3 linked regions of the Canis lupus familiaris genome follow. The protein of the gene in region 1 binds, or shares a complex with, the protein of each later gene. Links are inferred from orthologs where the notes say so. Each region holds a gene or a part of one and is shown in the gene's direction. Other genes may lie near its edges.

The links.
Region 2: CASC3 (region 1) and MAGOHB share a complex: the UniProt entries of both Homo sapiens proteins name them as parts of the mRNA splicing-dependent exon junction complex. The link is inferred for Canis lupus familiaris from reciprocal best matches to the Homo sapiens genes CASC3 and MAGOHB.
Region 3: CASC3 (region 1) and MAGOH share a complex: the UniProt entries of both Homo sapiens proteins name them as parts of the mRNA splicing-dependent exon junction complex. The link is inferred for Canis lupus familiaris from reciprocal best matches to the Homo sapiens genes CASC3 and MAGOH.

Annotation. Positions count from the first base shown.
Region 1 is NC_049230.1:22,372,380-22,380,420, reverse strand, and holds the start of CASC3 (protein CASC3), read left to right. Parts: upstream 1-2,660; 5' UTR 2,661-2,720; coding exon 2,721-2,951; intron 2,952-3,319; coding exon 3,320-3,347; intron 3,348-3,662; coding exon 3,663-3,700; intron 3,701-8,041. UniProt on the Homo sapiens protein: Required for pre-mRNA splicing as component of the spliceosome. Core component of the splicing-dependent multiprotein exon junction complex (EJC) deposited at splice junctions on mRNAs.
Region 2 is NC_049248.1:11,015,386-11,023,634, reverse strand, and holds the start of MAGOHB (protein mago nashi homolog 2), read left to right. Parts: upstream 1-3,726; 5' UTR 3,727-3,820; coding exon 3,821-3,914; intron 3,915-6,670; coding exon 6,671-6,729; intron 6,730-7,447; coding exon 7,448-7,558; intron 7,559-8,249. UniProt on the Homo sapiens protein: Required for pre-mRNA splicing as component of the spliceosome. Plays a redundant role with MAGOH in the exon junction complex and in the nonsense-mediated decay (NMD) pathway.
Region 3 is NC_049226.1:56,147,770-56,155,896, forward strand, and holds the start of MAGOH (protein mago nashi homolog), read left to right. Parts: upstream 1-2,671; 5' UTR 2,672-2,801; coding exon 2,802-2,889; intron 2,890-5,520; coding exon 5,521-5,579; intron 5,580-6,840; coding exon 6,841-6,951; intron 6,952-8,127. UniProt on the Homo sapiens protein: Required for pre-mRNA splicing as component of the spliceosome. Plays a redundant role with MAGOHB as core component of the exon junction complex (EJC) and in the nonsense-mediated decay (NMD) pathway.

The DNA of each region.
Region 1 (8,041 bases):
ATTTTCTTTGTTCTCCATCATTTTAATATGGTAAGCTGTTTGGCTTTCCTACTCTGACCTATGTTATGTTCCTTTATAATGTGCCCAAGAAGAAAAAAGACCAATCAGTGTCTCTTTACGTTGTTCCTTGATTCCTCGGTTTCTTCTTGGTTTTCAGCATTTGTCGGATTCCTAATTTGGATATGGGTTAGCAAATTAAATCTTTGTGTTTGTGCCCTATCCAGGAGACTCCCCAGATTCTGAACTTGAGCTAGACTAAGAGGAATCCATGAGGTGCTATCTGGCCAGACATAAGTGGATTCTATTTCCTTGGTTCTCCCTCTACCTAGGACCGCTCATTTTATTGTCCCCTCTTCTAGATCAGTTCTCCTTTGATTTGGATGCATTGAGGTTTTTTGAGGAGGTTGGAGAGTAGATTAGCAAAGTCCCAAGAGCGAAATTACAGTGTGTTAGAGTGTGGGGGGAAAATTAGTCTTATTTTTTCCCTACATGGGATACAACACTGTGAAATTCAATCTTCAACAAAGGCCCTGCAATTCTCCTAAAACATAGTTCTTTGTTTCTTTCTTTAACAAAGTTTAAGCTAGTGTTAATAAATTAAAAAGAAAAATTGCTTGTCTGTCCACTTCAGCTTTGTTTTATGCCCATTTCATATTGTTGTCTGTGTTGTAATTCATACTTTTGATACCATTTCTGATGTGTAAAATTGGTTGTCTTGTAAATATCTTATAAAGAGTTCAATTGTAAATAAACTATTGTGGCTGTTAATTTTTGAACTTCCGCTTCAATTTATTAGATATATTGGGAAGCATTAAACGGTTCTGGTAGATATTGAAAGATTAAAAATAGAAATCTATTTTTGCAAAATAGAAAAATACATCATTTTCTCTTTTATTTGTGTATGAACACAACATGTTTTTCATCCCTTTGTTCTGTGTTCTCCTTTACACCTATGGTGAGTGGCAACTTTAAAAACAAGATTCTAGGACAGGATACTTGGTGCCTGGTGTCTAAATGAATAAAGCCTCCTAATTGAAAAGACCTTAGAGGTCATCTAGTCTGACCCATAACGCATGATTTTCCCCTTGACAGCATTCCAGACAAATGAAGTCCAGCTTCTGCTTCAACATTTCATTTTTTTCTATGCATTTTTTCCTAAATGTTAGAAAATCCTTCCTCACTGGTAAAATCTAACTTGTAACTCCAACCCATTGGTTCTTGGTTTGCCTTCCAGGGTGATGAAAAAGAATCAATTCTTCCTGTTCCTCATAGTCTCTTGAATAGTTAGATTGCTGTGGCTGTCAAATCTTTTCTTCATGGTAAACATTCACAGAGCTTATATTTATTCCTCAAAAGTAAGGATTTTGAATTTTTCAGTTCCCTCTAAGTGAACAAATTGCTTGTATTCATTTAAAAATTGAACCCAGACCAAACAACTGAAAGGTAAAGTGGCAGGTTATCGCTTTCCTTATTTAGACACTAAACTTGGCAGCTTCATTTGCATCAATTTACCTTATGATAGAAAAGATCCTCCAGATCTTCCTTTCTTTCCAACACTTATTAAATCATACATCCTCCATTTGAACTCTGGCAGCTGGGTTTTGGAGCTGGATTTACAAGTTGTCACATTTGGCCCCTTGTTTAACTAGTTGAGATCCTTTTAGATCCTGAATCTATCTATGAAGGCATTCAGATTGGCTTCTAGTTTCATATTGTCTATAAATTTGGTAAATATCAGATCTTTAGCCATGTAGTTTTTAAGAAATACTACAGAGGACAGAATCCTGTGCTTTGCCATAGTGACCTTTCTCTGTTTGATACATATCAATAACGTGCACTCCTGTAGGTATGCTAATCACTTAGCTTATGCATCTTGAGTATATTTATTATGGTCCAAAGAAATTAAGACTTTTTTTTTTCATTGTTGACCATGTCTTGCCAAAACCCAAGCATTCCTCTCATCTACCGGTCTGGTAACCTTTAAGAAGGAAATCATGTCAAGATACTGAACCAACGCTTGTTCCCATCATCATCTCTTTTAGAATCAGTTCCAAAATCTTGGCTGAGTCTGGCATCATACCAGCCTGCACTTTGGAAGAGGTGATAGCTGGGGTGGGAAGATACAAGATGAGGAAATGAGAAAACAAAAACATGGTAGTGATGCAACACTAAGTCCTCGAGCTTCACTGCAAACAATTGCTTTCTCCTTCACCTTTTAGCTTCAAATGGGCTGCTGTGGCAAATCTGATACATCACAACAGCTTTAGAGGTTTACCTTGACTGATTTTACCGAGCAAACGAATGCAGTAAAATGATCTGCTTCAAACGTAGGTAGAAATGAGAAACGGAAATAGAAAACTATGAAACAGCTCCAATGCCGCAGCGAAGCTGTAGCAGGTGGGCGCCCTCCACTCGGAAGGCCCAAGATGGCTGGGCGAGGAACCGGAGGCGGCTGCCCGGAGCTCAGCTCCCCACGCCCGGGGCCTACTCGAGGGAAGACGGGGTCGCGGAACGCCCCCGGTACGTCACCGATTACGTAATCCCACTCGCCTGCAAAAGTGCCGCAGGGCGGCAGCCCCGCCCCTAGCCCCTCCCCCTGAAAAGCGCGGTGGCCCGTGTCGCACGTGAAGCATGCTGGGATTAGCTCTCGAGCCTCCCGGCAGCCCCTGCGACGGGCGCGGTACGTAAGGAGCTGGCCGGCGACGGCCGTTCTCCGTAAGATGGCGGATCGGCGGCGGCAGCGCGCTTCGCAGGACACGGAGGACGAGGAGTCTGGTGCTTCGGGCTCAGACAGCGGCGGCTCCCCGGCGCGGGGCGGCGGGAGCTGCAGCGGTAGCGCAGGAGGCGGTGGCAGCGGCTCTCTGCCTTCCCAGCGCGGAGGCCGAGCTGGAGCCCTTCATCTGCGGCGGGTGGAGAGCGGGGGGGCCAAGAGCGCTGAGGAGTCGGAATGTGTGAGTGCGCGCGGGTGGGCCGGGCCGGGGGGCGGGGTGTAGGTGGTGAAGGGACGCTGGGAGTTGATGGTAGATGCTGGGGCGTATTGTGTTAGAGAAGAGAGCTATCCCAGTGCAGTGTGCATCCGGAGCCCCGAGGGAGGAGGTGGTGTTGGGGTTTCTGGGGGAAGGGCAGACCCGCTGCACGTGAAAAGAGGATCTTTATTCAGAAATTGGGGCTGGAAGTGAAGAGACCGGACCTCCCTCGTTTGCTACTTGTTAAAGATGTACCTTTTCTCATCTCCCTTTTCAACCATTTTGTGTTGAGTTTTCAGTTCCCCACCCTCTGGGTATCAAGGAACTAAATCATGTCATCTTCTTTCCTTCAGGAGAGTGAAGATGGCATCGAGGGCGATGGTGAGTAACATCATGACAAGTATTTTGCCCGTCAACTCACATCACCTATTTCCACCAGTTGACATCCTCTCAGACCGTTAAGGATTTGGGGGCGGGTACCACTGAGTGGCTCTTTGTAACACAATGCCTACAAGCTTACGTTTTAGCAGTATGATCTTGGGCAAATCACTCATTGAGCCTGTTTCCCATTTGTAACTGGGAATTATGATTTTCTCTCTCTGATAGATTGATGTCAGAATTGAACGAGGGTCTTAGCTTGACTCAAAAAGCAGTGAGTAATAACTTTTTTCTTTACATATTTCTGTTTCCTTTCAGCTGTTCTGTCGGATTATGAAAGTGCAGAAGACTCTGAAGTGAGTGTGATAGGCTTTTTTTTTTCCCTATGGTATATGGGTTGGAAATTTTTTGATGTATTTTAAGAACGTGTATACACCTGTGGTTCAAAAGTACCATGACCTCCTTGTTATTTCTCTTGTGCATTCTTCATTTATGTTTCTCAAAAACTGTTATTAAAGGTCTTGTTTATTTAGAGTGAGAGAAGTTTGGTGCATTCCACATCAGGTTTCATGTGTTAGTACTGTTAGTAGTTGGCTTTTCACCCTGTCTGAAGAAAATAAGTTTCTAAATAAGAGAATGAGAACATCCTGAAGCCCTTCACAGAATAAGAGTTCCTTTTATGCTAGGAAGTGAAACCAGCTAATTGAATTTTTTTTTTTTTCCAAGTGTATGTGAAGACCTTAAAAGGAGAGGATCCTGAGTTGTTTGTATCAGAAATATCCCTGTTTCTAGGGAGCTTTCTCCCTCCTTAAATTCAGGAGAAAATATCCATAAGCCAAGCTTTTGTGACTTTATTTGTTTTGGTTAGGTGAACTACTAGAGATGCTATTTGTTTCCTGGGGTTGAATAAAGTCCTAATTTCTGGAATTTGGGTCATGAGGTTATGGGCAGGAGGAATTGGATTGTGGATCAAAGGTTCATTCTGTAAGTTTTGTAGAACTGTTACTACATATTAGATTTCCATTACATCCTGGAGATGCAACAGCAAACACTATACTAAAATTTCTGTCTTTAGGAATGACTTAGGAAGTCAGATAAACATGCAGGCAGTCCTACGAGTTGGTGACAACTGCTGGGGATAGGCTTAAGCTTAAGCAGGGTGTTAATGGCTGAGTACTGACTCCATCTTAGGCCGTCGAGAATAAGTTGGAGTTAGGCCATGTTTTAGGCAGAGGGAACAACAGCTGTGAAAATCCAGACACAGGAGAGAAAACTGAATATTTGGAAACTTGGAAGTAGTTTGGTGTGGCTGGAATATTGTTAGGATGGATACCAGAAATAAAGGCTAATTAGTGAACAGGGATCAGATCATGAAGGGGTTTACTTGTTCCTTTTCTTCATTATGCACCTGCTGTATGCCAGGAGTTATACAAGGCACTAGAATAAAAGACAAACATAGTTCTGCTCTCCTGGAATTTACATTCTGGGGAAAAATAGACAACTTTAAGCAAGTAATTACAGTAATGTTTGGTGTCGTGATATCAGAAGCACAGGGCGCTTTGGAAGCACATGGCAGGGGCAATGAATTGTTTGGAAACGCTTAGAGGATGGGATGTTGAAATAGAGACTTGAAGGGTGAGTAGGAGTGAGCCAGGCAGTATTCTAAGCAGAGGGAACACTGTTTGGGAAGAAGGTCTAGAAGGGATGGACTGCATGACAAATTGGAGAATATGAAAAGTTTAGTGTGACTGGGGCTAAATGATGAGTCTGAGTCCAAATCTTAAAATACCTTGTAAGCCTGATTAGAATGTATTTGGATTTTATTCTAAGGAAGTAAGAAAGCATAACAAGGTTTTAAACAAGTGTGATATGGATTAGACTTAAATTTTAAAGAAGTGTTTTTCAGAACTAAGGAACTCCTGCATCAGAAAATCCAGTTGGAAAAAAAAAAAAAGAAAAAAAAAGAAAAAAGAAAATCCAGTTGGCCAGTTCTTTTTTTTTTTTTTCAGTTGGCCAGTTCTACTGAAACAAAATCTTGCAGAGGGAGGGAAGACTCAGGCATTTATGTTAACAAATCCTGGATTGATGCTTATGCACAATAACATTGAGAATTATTATAACAATTATTTTGTTTGCAATGATAGTTGATCTGAGGGGAGCAAGATCGGAGGCAGGAAAGCTAGTTAAAGCTATTGTGGACACTGAGTGTATACTGTATATTGGCAAATTGTATTTGTTTACTTAAAAGATTTTATTCATTTATTCATGAGAGACAGACATAGGCAGAGGGAGAAGCAGGCTCCTTGCGGAGAGCCTGATGCAGGACTGGATCCCAGGACCCCGGGATCACTACTTGATCCAAAGGCAGACACTCAACCACTGAGCCACCCAGGTGCCTTGGCAAAGTGAATTTAAATAAAATATGTATGTATTTATTTATAAAGATTTTATTCATTTATTCATGAGAGACACAGAGAGAGGGAGAGGCAAAGACATAGGCAGAAGGCAGGCCCCATGCAAGGAGCCCGACCCAATCCCGGGACTCTAGGATTACGCCCTGGGCCGAAGGCAGGCGCCAAACCACTGAGCCACCCAAGGATCCCCAAAATAAAATAATTTTTTTAAAAAAAAGCTATTATGGAAGTCTAGGAAGCAGTAAGCATGGACTGGAGTGGAGTAGTAGCAGTGAAAGTAGAAGTGGACAGAATTGAAAGTTATTTAGGTTATGGAATTCCCAGAATGTGGTGATTAATGAGATGCCTTATTTTCTCTGAAGTCAGTGATGAAGTTATCTGCAATGAGTAAAAGGGAGATGAGAAGTTTTGGGGTGAGGAATGTTTGCAGTAGTCACTAGAGAATGGAAACCCTGGAAACATTGTCAGGCGGTATGGAGTGTTCAGTGAGGTTTGGTGATTGTGAATTTATAGCATCTCACTATTCTGTATGTAAATGAGTTTGGTTGTTATCCTAATAATGAGAAAGAAGGCTACTGAAGGTCTCATTATGGGGAATGAAGCAAGACTTGGGACATGGAGAACCGTTAAGAGATTGTTAGGATAAGCCAAAGAACATCATGGTGCCCTAAAGAAGAGACATGGCAGTGGGACTCAGATTTGAGAGATGTTTAGGTGGTACTAACAGAACTTCTTGATTGATTGACTAAGGAGCTTGAATTAAGGAGTCAAAAGGATGCCCAAATTGATGAATGATGTTATTCCCTAAGAATGAGACCCAGGAGATTTCATGGAGGACATTGATGGGTGAAGTTTTGGATGTTTTGAAATTGAGGCCTGTGGGACTTTGAAATGGCAATATATAGTAATATGGCCTAACAATTGAGAAGAAAGCCTAGTTCTACTCTGTCCAATACAATAGTCACCAGCCAGATGTGGCTCTATAGTTAAACTTAAAACTTCAGTTCTTCAGTTGCAAAGCCACATTTTAAGTACTTAATAGACATGTGTGGCCAGTGGCTGCTATATTGGACAGCATAGATAAAAAGATTTCCGTCATTCTAGAATTGTATCGGACGGTACTAGTTTAGATTCAGAAAAAAGATCTGGTGTCCTGACTTCATAGTAATGCATTACTTGCTTGCTTTTTTTTTTTTTGGTTACTAAATGTATACCTAGACACTACAGTTCAGTTTTGCCTATTAAAATTTGATCTGTCTCGGAACGCCTGAGCTGCTTAGCGGTTGAGTGTCTGCCTTCAGCTCAGGGCGTGATCCGGGAGTGCTGGGATCGAGTCCCACATCTGGCTCCCTGCGTTGAGCCTGCTTCTCCCTCTACCTGTCTCTGCCTCTCCCTCTCTGTGTCTCTCATAAATAAACAAATAAAATCTTTAATAAATAACTCCTTTCACAATTTAAAAAAATTGATGTCTCTTAGTCTGCAGGTTAGTTTTTCATCCCATTTCTTTTTTAAAATTTTTTAAAGATTTTATTTATTTATTTATTCATGAGAGACAGAGAGAGGCAGACTTAGGCAGAGGGAGAAGCAGGCTCAGTGCTGGGAGCCTGATGAAGGACTCGATCCTGGAACTCTAGGATCACTCCCTGAGTTTGTTTTATCTTGAACAAAACTGACAATCAGTTTCTTTCCCTTAGAGGTCACTTGCTGTTTTTGTCTAGATATTCCCAGTATATTTTCTTTAAGGTCTGATAATTATGTTAGAATTTGTCAAAAAAAAAAAAAAGATTTGTCTTGGTGGTGGTTTTTCTGGATCAGTGTTCACAGATATGAGATGTACTCTACTCTGTGTCATGGAACCCCTATCCATGGCAGTCTTCAGTATTTGACCCTTTCTCTCTCATCCTTTTTTTCTTCATCTCTGATTTTTCAAAATATTTTTAAATATTTTAAAGTCAGTGATAAAGTTACCTGCAAAGAGTAAAAGGGAGATGAGAGGTTTAATGAGGTAGCACTTTTTATTTTTACTTAAGGTGTTATTACTGTGGTTATTCACTCTTGTGTTCCTTCTAGTTTTAGACTTTGTAATACCTTCCTAGTTCTTTGGTTTAATCTTTGAGTTTTTCTAATTTTGATTGATGTTCTTTCATGCCTTACATAAGCTTCTTAATGTCTTTTTAGCTCATTTTGAAATAGAAGTTAGAATTTTGATATGATATGAGCCTGTCTTTCTGGCATATTTTCTTTTAGGAATGCTCTTCTACTTATTTCTTCCTCGTAATAAGT
Region 2 (8,249 bases), on another chromosome or scaffold:
TGATTCATTACTGTGAAGCTGAAAGCAATAAACTTAAAATCTCAGGGGAAAATCATTATTTTTTCAATGAATATTGTGTATTTGATTAAATCATTAAGCCTTAATTTCAGCTAGAGTTGGAAATCAAATGCGCATTTCTTGGCTATTATATTTTTAAAAGATTTATTTATTTATTCATGAGAGGCACAGACTGAGAGAGAGAGGCACAGACACAGGAAGAAGGAGAAGCAGGCTCCTCGCAGGGAGCCCAATGCAGAATTTGATCCCGGGATCATGACCTGAGCTGTAGGCAGGTGCCCAACTGCAGAGCCACCAAGGCATCCCAATTGCAGGATATTTTAAAGCTAACCACAGATAGGTTGCCTTAGCGAAGACAGAAGTAGTTCTTTATTTGGCTTCATTTAAGCTGCCCAAACATTTATTTTCCTAAATAAACTCTGGTAATATTAGTAAATATGCTCTAATTTGAACCCTACAGCAACTGAGATTGAGATTTCTCAGTTTGAAAAATATTTTCTGTTTCCAGCCCAAGTTAAAGTATATGAAATGGTTCTTACAAATGAAATATTTCATTGAACTTAAAATTCAGTTCCTGATCTCACCAGCCACATTTCAAGTGCTTAAGAGCTATTCAGAACATTTCCACATCTCTGTTGTGTAACACCCAAGAAGACCACAAAAAACAAATGCTTTATCACTTTGCAATCCTTATAAGATACAAGAGATAGTAAGGCTTATTATTATTTTTTAAAGATTTTATTTATTTATTCATGAGAGACACAAAGAGAGACAGAGACACACAGGCAGAGGGAGAAGCAGGCTCCCTGTGGGGAACTCGATGTGGGACTCAATCCTGGGACTCTGGGATCACGCCCTGAGCCAAAGGCAGATGCTCAATCACTGAGCCACCCGGGTGCCTCAAGGCTTATTTTATTTTATTTTTATATATATAAAGGATTAAGTATATATATTTTCACATCTCTAACCCTCTCTGTTTTTCACATTTCATCTTAAAAACAGAGAGGGTTAGAGAGGATTAGTCTTTGCCTCAGAAGTCTTTATAGGGGATAAAAACAGTAAGTGGCCTATAAAGATCTTAACACTGTGCATTCCACACATGCTACCTACATAGTCTTAGTTCTAGTACCTGTAGCTCTCTTACGTAAGCATGAAGATGAACACTGGCATGTGTGCCAAATATCTGAAGAACATGCACTAGGGAATCTAAAGATATTGAATGATGCTCCCTGCAAAAAACAGGCCAAATGGATTACTGCTTGTATTTTCAGAGCTACTATGGAATATTGTGGCCAAATTTCTGTGGGCTATTCTTGTAGTAAGTACACTGACCAACTCATCCCAGTTTGCCTGGGACTTTGCGGGCTTTAAAACTGAAAGTTCCACATCCCAGGAAACTCTCAAATCCTGGTCAAACCGAATGGTTATTCACCTTAACGATAAGGGATAGTGCTTTATGTGTCTTGTTTATTTTCCATAATGGCAGCATATAACAGGGACTGAATAATTTCTATATTAACATTTATACAATGATTAATATAGATTTCTATATTGACGATATATGTGTTAATACAGATTCAACATAATCTGGCCCAGTCTGCCTTTCTAGTTTTTCTACTCGCATGAATCTTATGTGTTAACTATAGTGAATTTCTTCGCTTTCCCAAATCACACACTATGCCTTTGCTTAGGCTGTTTTTTGCTTAGGGTGTTTTCTGCCTGGAATGCTTTCTTTCCCTTTGAACATATACCAAATTTATTCAAGGATGTCTAATTTAAATAGTAGGTCTGGTCATAAGCCTTCCTTGATACTTCCCTTTCTTCAGTTTCCCCTACTCCCCAATAAAATGACTTGCTTCTGCTGTACTACCAGCATTTAAGAATATCCTTTCTTTTCTTTTTTAATAACTGATAACCAATTTATTAAAAAGGTTGATGTAAGCATCTGCACTGGTGACTTCAACCTCACCTTCTAGCTCAATACTGATGGAAGTAATTTGCTTAATAATTTTAGAAGGGCTGTGCAAATCAATGAATCGCTTGTGGATCCTCATCTGAAAATGATCCCAAGTCTTAGAACCTTGACCATAAGGAATTTTTCTTATAGTGATTCTCAGAGCCTTGGTAGGCATCTAAACTGGTCCTTTCACTTTGAGATTCTTTTCCTTTGTGCCTCTGATCAAGTCAGTACATACCTTCTCCAAAGACTTTAGGTTGCAGCTGGTTAGGTAATTCTAATTCTGTGAATTGCTACCTCTGGTTCCACGGGTGTTTTCCCGATGTCTTTAAAAGCCATGGCTGCAGCTTGGCTCCCTGATGAACTTGTTCCTCTGGGACAGGGAACAGCAGTGAGTCAGGAGCTGAAGCTGGGTGTACAAAGTTCTGCTATTATTGCACCTGTATCTTCTTCAAAGAGCTAAAAATATTCTTTCTTTTAAGGTTTGCCTCCTCGTGTTAATACATGTCTACATGATTGCTTTCTTCTCTGGACTAACAGTATAAAGGGGTCTATTATTATTACCAGTGTCTGTCCATTTCTGGCACATAAGAAATGCTAAATGTTAAAGTCATTATGTGTTTTACAAATTTTAAAACTTATTATACATTTATTATCTCATTTGATCTTCTCAGTAATTCCTGAGCTTGGCAAAGTTGATTGTAGGATATTCACTCGGTTGGTGAACAAACAGGCGTCAACAGTGACTAAGCAAACCACGGTTAGTAGAGGTAAGTGATGGGAATGAATCCCAGGTCTTCTGACTGCCACTCTTTCCTCTATATCCTGCTGAAGGTTAAAGGTCACCCAACAGAATTACGCTGATGGTAAAAACAAGGGTGATCAATAATATTCGAAAAGCAGACTGTGTATAAAGTTTCTTTCCACTTCCTCCAAAACCCATTCTATACTGGGACACTACTTTAACCTCCCCAATTTAATTCTTTCTGGTAAGAATCGTGGGCTGGGGCGCCTGGGTGACTCAGCCAGTTGGGCATCTGCCTACTGTTCAGGTCACGATCCTCAAGTCCGGGATGCAGCCCCAAGTTGGGCTCCCTGCTCAGCGGGGAGTCTGTTTCTACCTCTGCCCCTCCCCCTGGAGAAATAAAATTAAAAAAAAAAATGTGGGCTAAACCATTTGATCTTAAGTCACATTCCCCAAACTCCACAGGCTACCAAAGATCAACCCTTACTGAATGATGGAAGTTTTACTATTAAGAGGAACTCTCTTAATACGGTAAATGTCAGAGATTTTTAGTTTCAAAGCGCTTTTCAAATTTCAGACCTCTTGTCTGATGGATTCTTTCTACTTCGCCTCTATTCTAGGTTCCATCATTGTACAAAGGGGAAAGCCCCGGTGAAGAAGCTAACTTCAGGAAAGGGCCGGTAGTCCGGGTCTACCATTCTGATTCCGGGCTGTTTCTTTTTGCACCAGTTAAAGGGGAATGAGGCCACACCCACCTCGTGAGGACGGGATGCCGCGAGGATTAGGGATTCGAGGAGGAAAAGCGACTTGCAAACCTTCATTCTAAACCCATAAGTAATCATTATTAGTTTTGCCAATACAATATGAGCTACTTAATTTGGGGGGGGGGGGGGAAATGGTCTTCCAACCTTAATTACGCAAAGTTCCTATCGCCCGGGCGCCTCTGAGCAGCTAGAGTCCGCCTCCCCCCACGGTCCTCCAGGGACCCGGGAGCGGAAAGGCGCGCCCGCAGTGACGCATTTATCCCGCGCGATGACGTGGCTGCCAGGCGCCCGGCGGCACGTTGGCCAGGCCTTGGGCGGGCTTCAGGGGGCGCAAACATGGCTATGGCCAGCGATTTCTACCTGCGCTACTACGTAGGGCACAAGGGCAAGTTTGGACACGAGTTTCTGGAGTTCGAGTTTCGGCCAGACGGTGAGCAGCGGAGCGGGGCGCCGCCGCCGCCGCCGCCGCAGCCTAGCGCGATGCGCGGCTGGGGGAAGCGGGGCGGAGAGGACTCGGAGGAGGCGGGGTGCGGTGAGCCAGCGTCGGGGGGCTTGCGAGTCTGTCGTGGGGGCCGAGGTCACGGCTAGAGCCGGAGTAAATACGAACTGAAGACTCTTCAGAAGCAGAAGTTGGTTCTCTGCATAAAAGAAAATTCACGGGTGTAGATGAATTCAGAAAATCGAATCCTGCCAGGTACTGAAAACTTGAACATAGGATAATGAGAATCCCACGTTCAGCGCACCGGAAGAGACCCTAATGCCATCTAGTTTACTTGACGTCATCCTTGAACATTTTAAAGAACATCCCACCACGCACTGGCCCAATGGATGCTTAAAATCTTTCGGGGACCGGTGATTCTCGGACTCCCCATTCAACCATTGTATTCGTTCAGGCGCTGTCTGTAAGGCCACGTGTCTAGGAATAGGAATGAGACCCACTCTGAAGAAGGAAGCTCCACGTATGGAAGAATGGGTATAATGATGTGGTTTGGGTGATTAAATATAGTTGTTCCCATAGGATGCGTTAAGAATACAAAAGAGGGGAATGGTTAGGGCTACATGTAGGCGTCGAGGAAAGCTTCCTAGAGAAGGTAACGTTTGAAATTGTAGCTGGTATGCAGGGCTATTCTGGGGTTCCCAAACAGACCAGATTGGGGGCGCAGCCGCTGATAACATCCAAAGGCAGAGAATCTACTGTTGGTGAAACAAGAAAGGAATTTAGTTCAGAGAGGCCGGCACCAAGGAGACCATGGACTAGAGTCTCAAACACTCTCTCTACATGCCAAAATGCCAAAAATACATGCCAAAAAAAAATGAGGGGCAAAGGTGCGTTTGAGATCATGGTGGAGGTAGCCCAAAACCTCTTTCAAGATGAGTCTTGAAATGAGAATAGACTTTTTTTTTTTTTTTTTAAGATTTTATTTATTTATTCATGAGAGACACAGAGAGGCAGAGACACAGGCAGAGGGAGAAGCAGGCTCCATGCAGGGAGCCCGACGTGGGACTTGATCCCGGGACTCCGGGATCACGACCTGAGCTGAAGGCCGACGCACAACCGCTGAGCTACCCAGGCATCTCGAGAATAGCTATTTTCTTGGCCTGTGAGGGAAAAACAACAACAAACATTCAGACCGTGGGAAGCAGCATGAACAAAGGATAAGGTGGAAACTGCTGCCTTGTAGGTGCAGCATATTTTATGTTTTGAGAGCCCTGATTCTCTTTAGAGAGTTATTGTATATTGAACTCTCCTTAGAACCAGGACAGTCCACCTGCATAGATTTTTCTGTCTTTGAATGCCCGTTATATGCTGGGCAACATGTAAAATACAAAAATTGAGGGTACAATAATGAGCAAGTCTCTTCAACTTCTCTGAAGGAGTTTTGCTTTGGGTAACAAAGATGTAAAACTAGCCATAAAACAGTGTGGATATTAAATGATGTGTTATGCTTTGGACAGAGTTCTGTGAGAGTGAAAGATAAAGCACAGAAGCATCATCACATATTAGAGAAGGGGGAATAGTATCAGACATAAAAAGAAACTCAAAGTAACTACAGCCCTGCAGTTCAGAAACCTTAATCACTATTCTCCTATGTTCTTGCCATGTCTCTTCTAAATTTAGCTAAGGAGCCAAATTTACCTGAATTCTCCATCTAATCTTTTCTTAGGTGATACTCCTTTTAGTGCTTTTGCCTGTAAACAGCTTTCAGCTTGCCTAGATCATGTTTAGTCACATAAATTAAGTAGTCTCATTTATCAGGGAGAGTTCATGCCAGAACAGTGGTTTTCATCCAGTTGTCTGCCACCACACCATTCCATATACTTCCTTCAGTGATCAAGGGTCACTGCACTAGGGTAACCTATCATTTTAGAGATCAGGACCACATTACATATGTATATGAACAACTGACTATAGCTATGAGGAGAAGCATGCATCAGGGAGTACAAAAGTCATGGATTAAAGTTAAGTGTAGGTCAGCTAACAAACTGGCCGACTTTTATCTAGAAGCAGTACATAGTTTTGTATCTTAGCCACAGTGTTAAATAGTAGCATTGCCATGCATAGATTAATTTGAAGGAGATAATTAAAAGAACACTTTGGAGTAGTGGGGAAAGCAGGAGTATTGGAAGAAGGTAGACCTAGAACTGAATCTTTGTGACCCTGGGCAAGTTATTTAACTCTGTTTTCTCAACTATGAATAGTTGAGAGAATAAAACCTTTTAAGGGTTGTTTTACCGATTAGATCTAATGCTCTGGGTAAATGACTTAGGGCCAATAGAGACCTATTACATAGGCTTTAAAAAAAATGTTAATTCCTTTTTCAGAGTCCCTGTTTAGTTCATGACAGCTTAGGCAAATGAGCCTTAAAAATGACCCCTCTATTATATTGAATTATATTGAAGGCATGAAATATTTAAAAATTATGTTAAATACTTTAAAAATCTATTGAAGGCGTGAAAGTTTTGAAAATGACTGGCTTCACCTTTAGCCAACTTTTTACCAACAAATATTTGAGTGTTTACAGGTCTAGCATTGATCTTATGCTGAAAGGGCAGAAATATTAATGAAAATAGTATAAATCATCTTTACCTTCAAAATTGCTTTCATTGTCATTTATTTATTTATTTGTTTATTTATTTATAGCAGTTTTTGCAGTTATAAATTGAATTTTTTTGTATTCCCCACAGGAAAGCTTAGATACGCGAACAACAGCAATTACAAAAATGATGTCATGATCAGAAAGGAGGTAAGTTCTTTTTGAATGTCTAATTTTCTACATTTAGACCATTTTCTTCATGTCATTTTTGAATTTACAAAAATACACCTAAGGCTGTATTGCTGTAAAGAAGCCAATTTATAGGTTGAAAAGGGAGTCTTTAAATTAGATATAACGGTAGCATGTGTAACAGAAGAAGATGCAATCTGAGTATATTAAGTTGTAGTCCCACTTTTGAACATATAATTTCATTCATTTTATAATTAGTTATGTCTCCTTATCCCACTCCTTATTAAACTAATGGATAGTCAAGATTTAAACACAGTGAATTTTACATGAAAGGCTCAAAAGTTAGGGCTAAGTAAGAAAAAGTTCAGAGCAGTAACTGGGATATGTACTTGTATTTGTCTCTGTTCACCACAGATTTTCCAAATCACCATTAACCATTCAGATGTATTTGAGTTCCGTGTTACAAAGGCAGATCCAAAGTTTTAAAAAGGGGCTAGTGGAAGTTATTAATTTATTTATTTTAATTTAGTAACAGATATATATTAAAGGAAAGGGCAAGAGAGTTAATAAAGTTGTAAGATGAGTGATTCCCTCCCAACTTGTACTTTTGGAATCAGTATTAGATTTTCCTGTGATACTCTCTTTGAATATTTAGGTTTTGTAACTTTGTATTATCATTTCATCCTGAGTTGTGGGAAGAAATAGACATTGTGGAATTTTTATTGTAACTTGTTTTCAGGCTTATGTACACAAGAGTGTAATGGAAGAACTGAAGAGGATTATTGATGACAGTGAAATTACAAAAGAAGATGATGCATTGTGGCCTCCCCCTGACAGAGTTGGCCGACAGGTTTGTGTTCAGTGGTTCTTTAGGCATGGTAGTAGAAACTGGTAATATAAATGTTGTGTTTCTACTTATTTATTTAGAATAGATCCTCATTGATTCTTTGGTTTTCCATTTATTTAGTAGGCATCTGATCAATACTCTTTGATTTTATTTCACTTAGTCTCATTTTCTGTCCTACTTCTGAATAGTAAAGGAGTCAGTGCAGAGCTCTGAATTTAGACATCTTCCTGACGAGTCTTCTATGTAGCTTCACGAGTTAAAGTTATGATGTTTTCACACTGTTATGAATAATTGCTATTGTATATTAATTCTATTAAGAAAAAGTACAGTGTGAAATTCAAGACAAGATTCTTATTGACTATAAAATTCACTTTCTTCATTTTTATAACTTTGAGAACTCTTAGGCCCAAGAGAGGGATTTGATTGCGTCTTTGTGCAAACTGACTACCGCATTTGCCTCCTGTTGTTCCCTTTGGAGTAATTAATGTTTCTCAAAGGGCTTCTGGAGAAGTTTGTTTTTTTTTTTTTTCTTCTTTTTTTTTTTTTCTGGAGAAGTTTGAAGGCTTAATTTCCCTCTGTAGAAAGACAGTTTGATTGGGTCTTTTCAACTCTTGGAGAATTGAAATACAAATCCTGGAGGAAGAAACAGTTAATTTCATTTTTGTATATTCCTGAGGATTATACTTTATATCCC
Region 3 (8,127 bases), on another chromosome or scaffold:
CTAGAGTGATTTTTTTTCTAGAAGGCAAGAGGTCACGTCACCACCAGCCTTTCTATTGTCCTGCTTAAAGTTCTTCATCTGTTTCCCTTGCGTTAAAATCCAATACCTTTGAGTTTTGGCCCATATTCTAGTTTAATATGCCTTGTAAGCCATTTGGTTTCTGTCCCTTCTCCAACTTCATTACTATATTCACAACTTCATTCTGTATTCCAACCACACAGTTCTGGGCCCTCTATCTGGAACATTTCCTTCAGGAAGACTTCCCTTAGGCCCCTAGATTGGATTAGGAGCCATCCCATGTGCTTCCATAGTAGTCTGTGCTTCCTCTATTTGTAACCGTTGCTTCTACATTATAATTGCTTGTATGCTCAACTGCTTCCTCTGCAAGTTCTATAAAGGTCTGTCTTGTTCACCATTGTATTATTCCCAGCACATAACAATAAGTGCACAGACCATGTTCTTTCAGCTATACCATGTTGTCTCATGCCCCCAAACCTGGATCCAGTCTGACTGGTGTCCAGTTCCTTTAAGTTTTCTCAAAACGTTTGATATTTGCCACATCTGCAGATGCCCAGATTCAACAGTTAACAGTATAATTTTTATAAGTTCACTCTTGGAAAATAACTTCGTGGTAATTACCTGATGAATCTATATACTTAATTGAATTACCGCCTCAAGACTGTTGTGAGGATTCAAAGAATAAGCATTTGTAAATGGATTCACATTTATTAGGTGCTTAATACCTCGTGGTTCCCTTCTCTTTTTCATACAATTCCCTTGTTACCACCCATATCCCATGCTTTCTTTTTTTAAAGATTTATTCATTTATTAGAGGGGGAGGGGCAGCAGGAAAGGGAGAGAGAGGGAATCCCAAGTGGACTCCCTGCTTGGGAGGAGGGGGAGGGCCCAACATAGGGTTTGATCCCGGGACCTCAAGATCATGACCTGAGCCAAAATCAAGAGTCTAATGCTCAACCAACTGAGCCAGTCAGGTGTCCCCCAGTGTGTGTGTGTGTGTGTGTGTGTTTAAATAAAACACCCTATAGTTTTATAGCAATTTACAGTTGGCAAAGTATTTTTCCAATTTCCAAGATTTTGTTTTCTATTCTTACAACAGTCCTGCCAGATGTATAACATTATTTTTCTCATTTTATTTTTTATTATTATTTTTAAAGACTTTATGAGAGACAGAGAGAGAGAGAGAGGCAGAGACACAGGCAGAGGGAGAAGTAGGCTCCATGCAGGGAACCCGATGCGGGACTCGATCCCGGGACTCCAGGATCATGCCCTGAGCCAAAAGCAGACAGACGCTCAACCACTGAGCCACCCAGGCGTCCCTCATTTTATTTTTTATTTTTATTTTATTTTTTTGTCCCTCATTTTAAAGATAAACTTGAGTGAACCTCGAGATTCACTGATCCTAGGAGAGGAAGGGACTGATGACTGTGGCGTGGAAGGTTAGTTCACACCTTCGATCATAGCGAATCAAATCACACAAGGATTATTTTAACACAAGCTTCCAGTGATTTTCCCTCTTCACACCCACTCTACACCAGTTATTTTTGGGGGGAAGAAAAGGAGTAATGCTAAGACTGGGAATGAGAATCAAGAGGCCACTGACCTCAATGAAGAACAGTATACAATTACAGTGGTCAGGCCCCCAGAATGATGCCATCTTAGCACGGTCTCTAGACCTGATTTCACAATTCCCTGCTCTCACTGGAACTTCCACGAACTAATGCAGTTTCCTAATAATTAGGGTTTTGACTGTCCTTTGCCTACTCAAGGAGGAAAATTTTCCACAGCCTGAAAGACTTCACAGAGGTCAACCAATTTGGCCTGAAAGGACAAGGGGCTCTTGGGCATCAGTCCTGCCCCGTTGTTCATCTGGGGCGGGGGGGGGGGGGCGGGGGGGGTTTGCAAAAAAGTACCAACGCCCAGGTTCAGGGCGGCGAGAGAACCTGATTGTCTGGTTTGGGGTGGGGCCCAAGCATCAGTATTTTTAAGATGCTCCCGAATGACTCCGTTGTGCAGCCAGGTCGGAGAATCCCTGCCGGGTAAGCAGAGCCTAGAAAACGAGAAGGGGAAATTCCATATCCAGTTTAACCTCTACCCGCAGCACCTGCTCTAGAGACCAGTTAAGTAGAAAGGGAAAGGTAGGAATTAAAAAAAAAAAAAAAAGTAAAAGTAAAAGGGATAAAAGGGAGAGGTCAGTTCCAGGGAAACGGCAGCGGCACCACGGATTCAGGAAAGGCGTCTGTGGGGAGCGTTTCCGTGAGCAAAGTTCGGCCGGAGCCAACTTCTGACCCACGCGCCAGCGCGTGCGGCGGTCCGTGGGGTCAGCTCCTTCATCACCGACGGTGAACAGCTGTCTCGGGCTCGCCCACGTTGGGCCCACGCACACGGAGGTCGAGCCTGGGGCGCAGCCCTCGCGGAGCTCAGCCGGACGTCGTGAAGCAGGGTCCCCAGACCCGCCGCCCAAGCCCGGGCGCCCTCGCGTCGCCTGCGGCCTCGAGCCTCGGGAAACCCGGGGGCGACCCGTGGCCGCGCTCCCGCCGGCGGCCGAGGGGGCGGGGCTGCGCTGACCCCGCCTCCGGGCGACGGGGCTCTGGTTTCCGCCGGGGGATGCGCCAGACTTGCCGCCACTTCCGGGAACGCAGACGGCCTGGGCCGCTTCGCAGCGACCGGCAGCCTCGCCTTGACGTCACATCCGCGCGCCCCGGTAAACGTCAGTGTTGGGCGCACAGCGCGGCGACGAGGTTTGCTGGTCAAGTTTCGTCTCCGTTGCCTCCTTATGAACCATGGAGAGTGACTTTTATCTGCGTTACTACGTGGGTCACAAGGGCAAGTTCGGCCATGAGTTCCTGGAGTTTGAGTTCCGGCCCGACGGTAAGAGCGGCCTCTGGCCCCGGCCGAGCGAGGACGGGGCCTGGGGTCGGGCGAGCGGGGAGGCCCGGGCTCCGGAATGTGCGAGGAGGAGCTAGGAGAGGACGGGACTGATGACTGCGGCGCGGATCTGAAAGGGCCACTCCTGTGACCGCTCCGCTGGTTCTTCCCATGTGCACGAACTTTTTTTTTTTTTTTTTTTTTTTTAACTAGAATGCTTCATTCAGCAGACACTGATTGCATACTTTGTGCCAGGCTCTCTTTCACAATTTGGGACAAGTTTCCTCTCATAGCGTATATATTCTGGTGCTGGGAGAGATATAAACAAACAAAGATTTCAGATAATGACGAGTGGTCAGAGCATGAAACAAAACGATGGAGTAATTGCTAAAAAGTGGACTGCTTTTAAGCAGAGTGGCCACTGGCGTGCTCTCTGGAAAGGTAGTATTTGAACTGAATCCTAAGTGACAAGAAGGAGAGCCAGCTTTGTGAAGCTCGGGAAGAAGGGCATTTTGGACAGAGGGAGTAACAAGTGTTAAGGCTTTGGGGCATGAACGAGCATGTTCCAAGTGGCCAGTATGGCTGAGGAAGTAGTGAGCTCCGAGGAGAATAGTAGGAGACAATGTCAGATAAGCAGGGGTACACCATGTAGGTCTTTACAGGCCATGGTGGAGAGTTTGGATTTTATTCTAAGTGCAGCAGGAAGCAACTGGAAAGTTTTAAGGAGAGAAGAGATGTGATCTCTTCCTGAAAAAGTATTCTAATCATGGAGTATGATTAGAAATAGAGTAATGATTAGAAAAAGTAATCTATTCTAATCATTGCAAGAGTGGAGACAGGGCAACTTATTAGGAGACAGTGAACAGTTGTCAAGGTAAAAAGGATGCTGGTTGGGACTAAGGTACTATCAAAAGCGCATAGAAGGGTTCAGGATACTGTTGGAGGCAGAACCAATAGGACGTTGCTGTTTGATAAGATCTGGGGGAAGGACCACTGTGGGGAGGAAAAGGAATCAAAGATGACAAAAATAAAAAATAAAAAACCTCCCACTAAATGGGGGCACAAAGATGAATCTGACAAGCCCCAGTTGTAAACAAACAATGATAGGATAGTGTGTTTGATGCTGTGGTACAAAGAAACGGAAGGGACTCTGGAGCAGAAAGAAGGCAACCTAACCTAACCCTCAGGTAGCCTGAGGATGGGAGAAAGCTTCCTGCATAAAATGACTTGGGGGAAGAGGAGTGATAGTCTTAGTAATGTGCAGGAGTTGGTTAGGCATTTGGACATCAACATCAAAGAAGCTGAAAACCAAAAAGTGCATGGGATGTTTCAAGCAGAAACCAAGTAAGGTGGTTAACTCCAGCTGTGTAAGAGTGGACTATTGCAGGAGGGAGCCTGAAAGGCAGGCAGGGGCTCAGCTTAGCAGTTATGCCATGTTGAAGAATTTGGATTTTTATCAAGAAGGCAGTGAGAAGGGATCCCTGGGTGGTGCCAGCAGTTTAGCGCCTGCCTTTGGCCCAGGGCACTATCCTGGAGACCCGAGATCGAGTCCCATGTCAGGCTCCCAGTGCATGGAGCCTGCTTCTCCCTCTGCCTGTGTCTCTGCCTCTCTCTCTCTGTGTGACTATCATAAATAAATAAAAATTAAAAAAAAAAAAAAAAGAAGGCAGTGAGAAGCTATTGTCATTATCAAAGTGTTAGAGTAACCTGGGGCACCTGGGTGGTTAAGTAGTTGAGCGTCTGCCTTTGGCTCAGGTCATGGTCCTGGGGGCCTGGAATCGAGACCTGCATTGGGCTCCCTGAAGGAGAGCCTGCTTCTCCCTCTGCCTATGTCTCTGTCTCTCTCTCTGCATCTGTCATGAATTAATAAAATCTTACCAAAAAAAAAAAGTATTAGAGTAACCTAATTAGATTGGTCTGTTACTACATCACTTTGTCTACCGTATGGAGAATGAACTGAACCAAGAGAGACAAGGCAGAGATAGTGAGTGCAGTGAGGCATCAATTAATCTGGCTCTTTTTACATGTGTAATCCCAAAGGTAAAAATTCATCTATTTCCTTTTCTCTTCTTTTCCTTCATATCTAGCATATAGCCTTTTGGATGCATATACACACAAAAGGCCTTGTATACCAAATATGCTTAATAATAAAACCAAAACTTTTCCACCATAGGAATAGATCAGAGTATTGCATGGTCACATGAATAATATGTAAACAGCATTTTACAATTTTCAAACTGCTTTCACAATTCATCTGAGCCTCAGGAGGCCTTATGTGCAAGTAAGTTACCATCACTATCCCTGTTTTCAGCTGAGGACATTAACCTGCAGAGATATGATTTGCCAGAGTCACAATGTTCTGCTTATGTTCTTTTATCACACCTGAGCTGCCTTTTGCAAGAATTATAATTCAATGTCAGCAATATTCTGGCTTTGAAGCTACTTAATAGCCGAAAATAAAGAACTGAAAGACTGCTATTGTTGGAACATCAGAAGTTTGAATAGTAAATCTGGTAGACGCTGAGGGGAAAGCTAGGATACATTTTAAGCAACAGCTGATAGTCTTGGTGAGCTAATGAAGCTTTATTTATACGTTTTTAATATACACTGAATTTGTTTTTTCGCTCCTCACAGGGAAATTGAGATATGCCAACAACAGCAATTACAAAAATGATGTCATGATCAGAAAAGAGGTAATGAGCCTTCTGAGAGCCTTTCTTTCACTACAATTTAGCCTTTTGTCATGTTTTTGTTCTTTCTGGGAGTAAGTAGTATTGAAAAAGAATAGAGAAGTATAGACATATCTATAGACACCTTCTAAAATTTTTCTCACATCTTTTAGTTTATATTTTCTTTTACAATGTTAAACCACTTTTGTAATCATTTAAAGTCTTGCAAATCTTGGTTTAAACCCTGAATCTGCTATTTACTCTATGCCCCTGGGCAAATAACCTGGCTTGATAAGTTTTAGTTTCTTTGTCTGCAGAAACAGATATAATTAACCTGCCCCCCCCCCCCCCCCCAGTGCTATCACAGAATTAAATACATTATACCTAAAGTGTTTTGTGTATTTCCTGGTGCATAGCTTTCAGAAGAGCTCTTTAATTTGCATTTGGATGGGGGAAAGGGAACATGGGAAAGCAGTTCACATCATTGAATGCAGGTTAGATGCCAGGCTTGGCACTTGGTGTTTTACATATGATTTTATTTCACCCTGATTGTAAGCCTTTTTGATTAGCGGTATTATATACCCTTTACAATGAAGGCCCAGATGTTAATTATGGGGCTTGTTCAAAGTCACCTCATCCTGACGAGCAAGAGATAGAGTGGGAATTCAAAGCTATGCCTGCCTCTGTCAAGTCCATGTGCTCTATTTTGCTTAATTTCTGCCTCACTATTGAGGCTTCATCAAAGCTTCTCTTTCCTTTTAACCACTTTGTCACATTTGAAAATGTCTTAACAGTTACTATATCTTCATACTGTTATGTTTAACTAGCATTCAGTTTTATGTTTACCCACATGTCTCAGCCTGCTTATATACATATATATTTTATGTGTGGACTGATATACAAAATGTATTTTAAAAGATGTGTCTCTGGTCTTCATAAGCATGTCATCTCGGTAGGAATAACCAGGGTTCACTCACAGATCTTTTGTTCTGGGTTCAGGTGTGAATTCAGTCTGTAAGCAAGGAGAAGTTCCAAGTGAACAGGATGTGCCAAGAAGTAGAAACCGGTAGATGGGGTATGATGTATAGTCACTGGGCACTTCTGGCCCTGCCCTCTTGAGCATGCTGAGGTCACACCTGAATGCCATCTACCTTACAGTGGTGCCAGAGACCAGTTTTTATTAGCAGGTTTTTTTTTTTTTTTCTTTTTAATCTTTAATCATTATCTGAGTCAGAACACTTGCTTAGGGATGCAAGTTAAATTCCATTTTTTAATTTGCTTTCAGGCTTATGTACATAAAAGTGTAATGGAGGAACTGAAGAGAATAATTGATGACAGTGAAATTACCAAAGAGGATGATGCCTTGTGGCCTCCCCCGGATCGAGTGGGCCGGCAGGTGAGTGTTAGCAACTGTCCTATAGAGCAGAAGTTTTAAGAAGTAAGAGGAGTTTTACTGCCGTGCGTATGACATTGAATCTGTGTGTATGTATTAATGGAGCCCTACACAAAGTACATTACCAGCACATTTGTCTAAGGAAGCAGTAATCCCACAAGAAGGAACAGAAAGCCAGTGGTGCTTCCTGACCACCTGCATTGGTGGATTTCTTCATGACTCTTCCCCCTGCCAGCCCTTCTCAGAGGTTTTGTTGCCCACCTCACTTACTGAGTAACTACTATGGACAAAGCATTGTGAACATACAAAGAGAACCAGAACATGGTTATTTCAGCAGTCTAATGAAGGAATATCATGCAAGCAGCTAGATATATGTGTTTTAATTCATGGCTTATATATTTATTCTGAAAACCATTTATGGTAATTAAAATAAAAGCCACTGTCATATCTGTGTTAACAAGGAAGCTATTTCTCTCCACTTCAACTGCTACCTTCCTAATTTAGACTTATAATTGATTTCCTTTTTTCTTTTGTCCTGTATAGCCCATTTTTCTATCCAGACTAATCTTACAAAATATAAATGTATTCCACTCATTTTAAGTTCTCTGCTATCTTCCCACTATATCTGAAATAAAATCTGAACTCCCACCTTATCTTCTACCGTTTTCATAGTCTTTTGCCGCATTCAGACCTCACTCACCTTATTTCTGTTCCTCAGACACACCTAGGTTGTTCTTAGATTAGGGCATTTGCATTTGCTGCATCCTGCCTGGAATGTTCTATCCAACATTGTCTTTATTAGTGTAGGTTTCAAACATCTTTTCCTCAGTGATGTCTTGCCTATCCATCCAACCTAAAATGTCCCTCCCTATTGTTTTTTTTTTTTAAAGATGTTTTATTTTCTTTGTAGCATTTATTATTATCTGAAATTGCTTTACTTGCTATATCCCTTTTCCTCCCCCTGCTGTAACAGATTGGCATATATCCCTGCAAGCTCCTTCAATACAAGGATTTTACCTATTTTTCCTCATTGCTATATCTGTAGAGACTAAAATAGTACAGTGTATAGTAAAAGTTCAATAATAATTACATTTATTAAAGACAAAAATTCATTTAAGTTAATTCCTAATTTACCTCAAAATGGCAGGGCAACTTTTTTTTTTAAATCTAAATCCAATT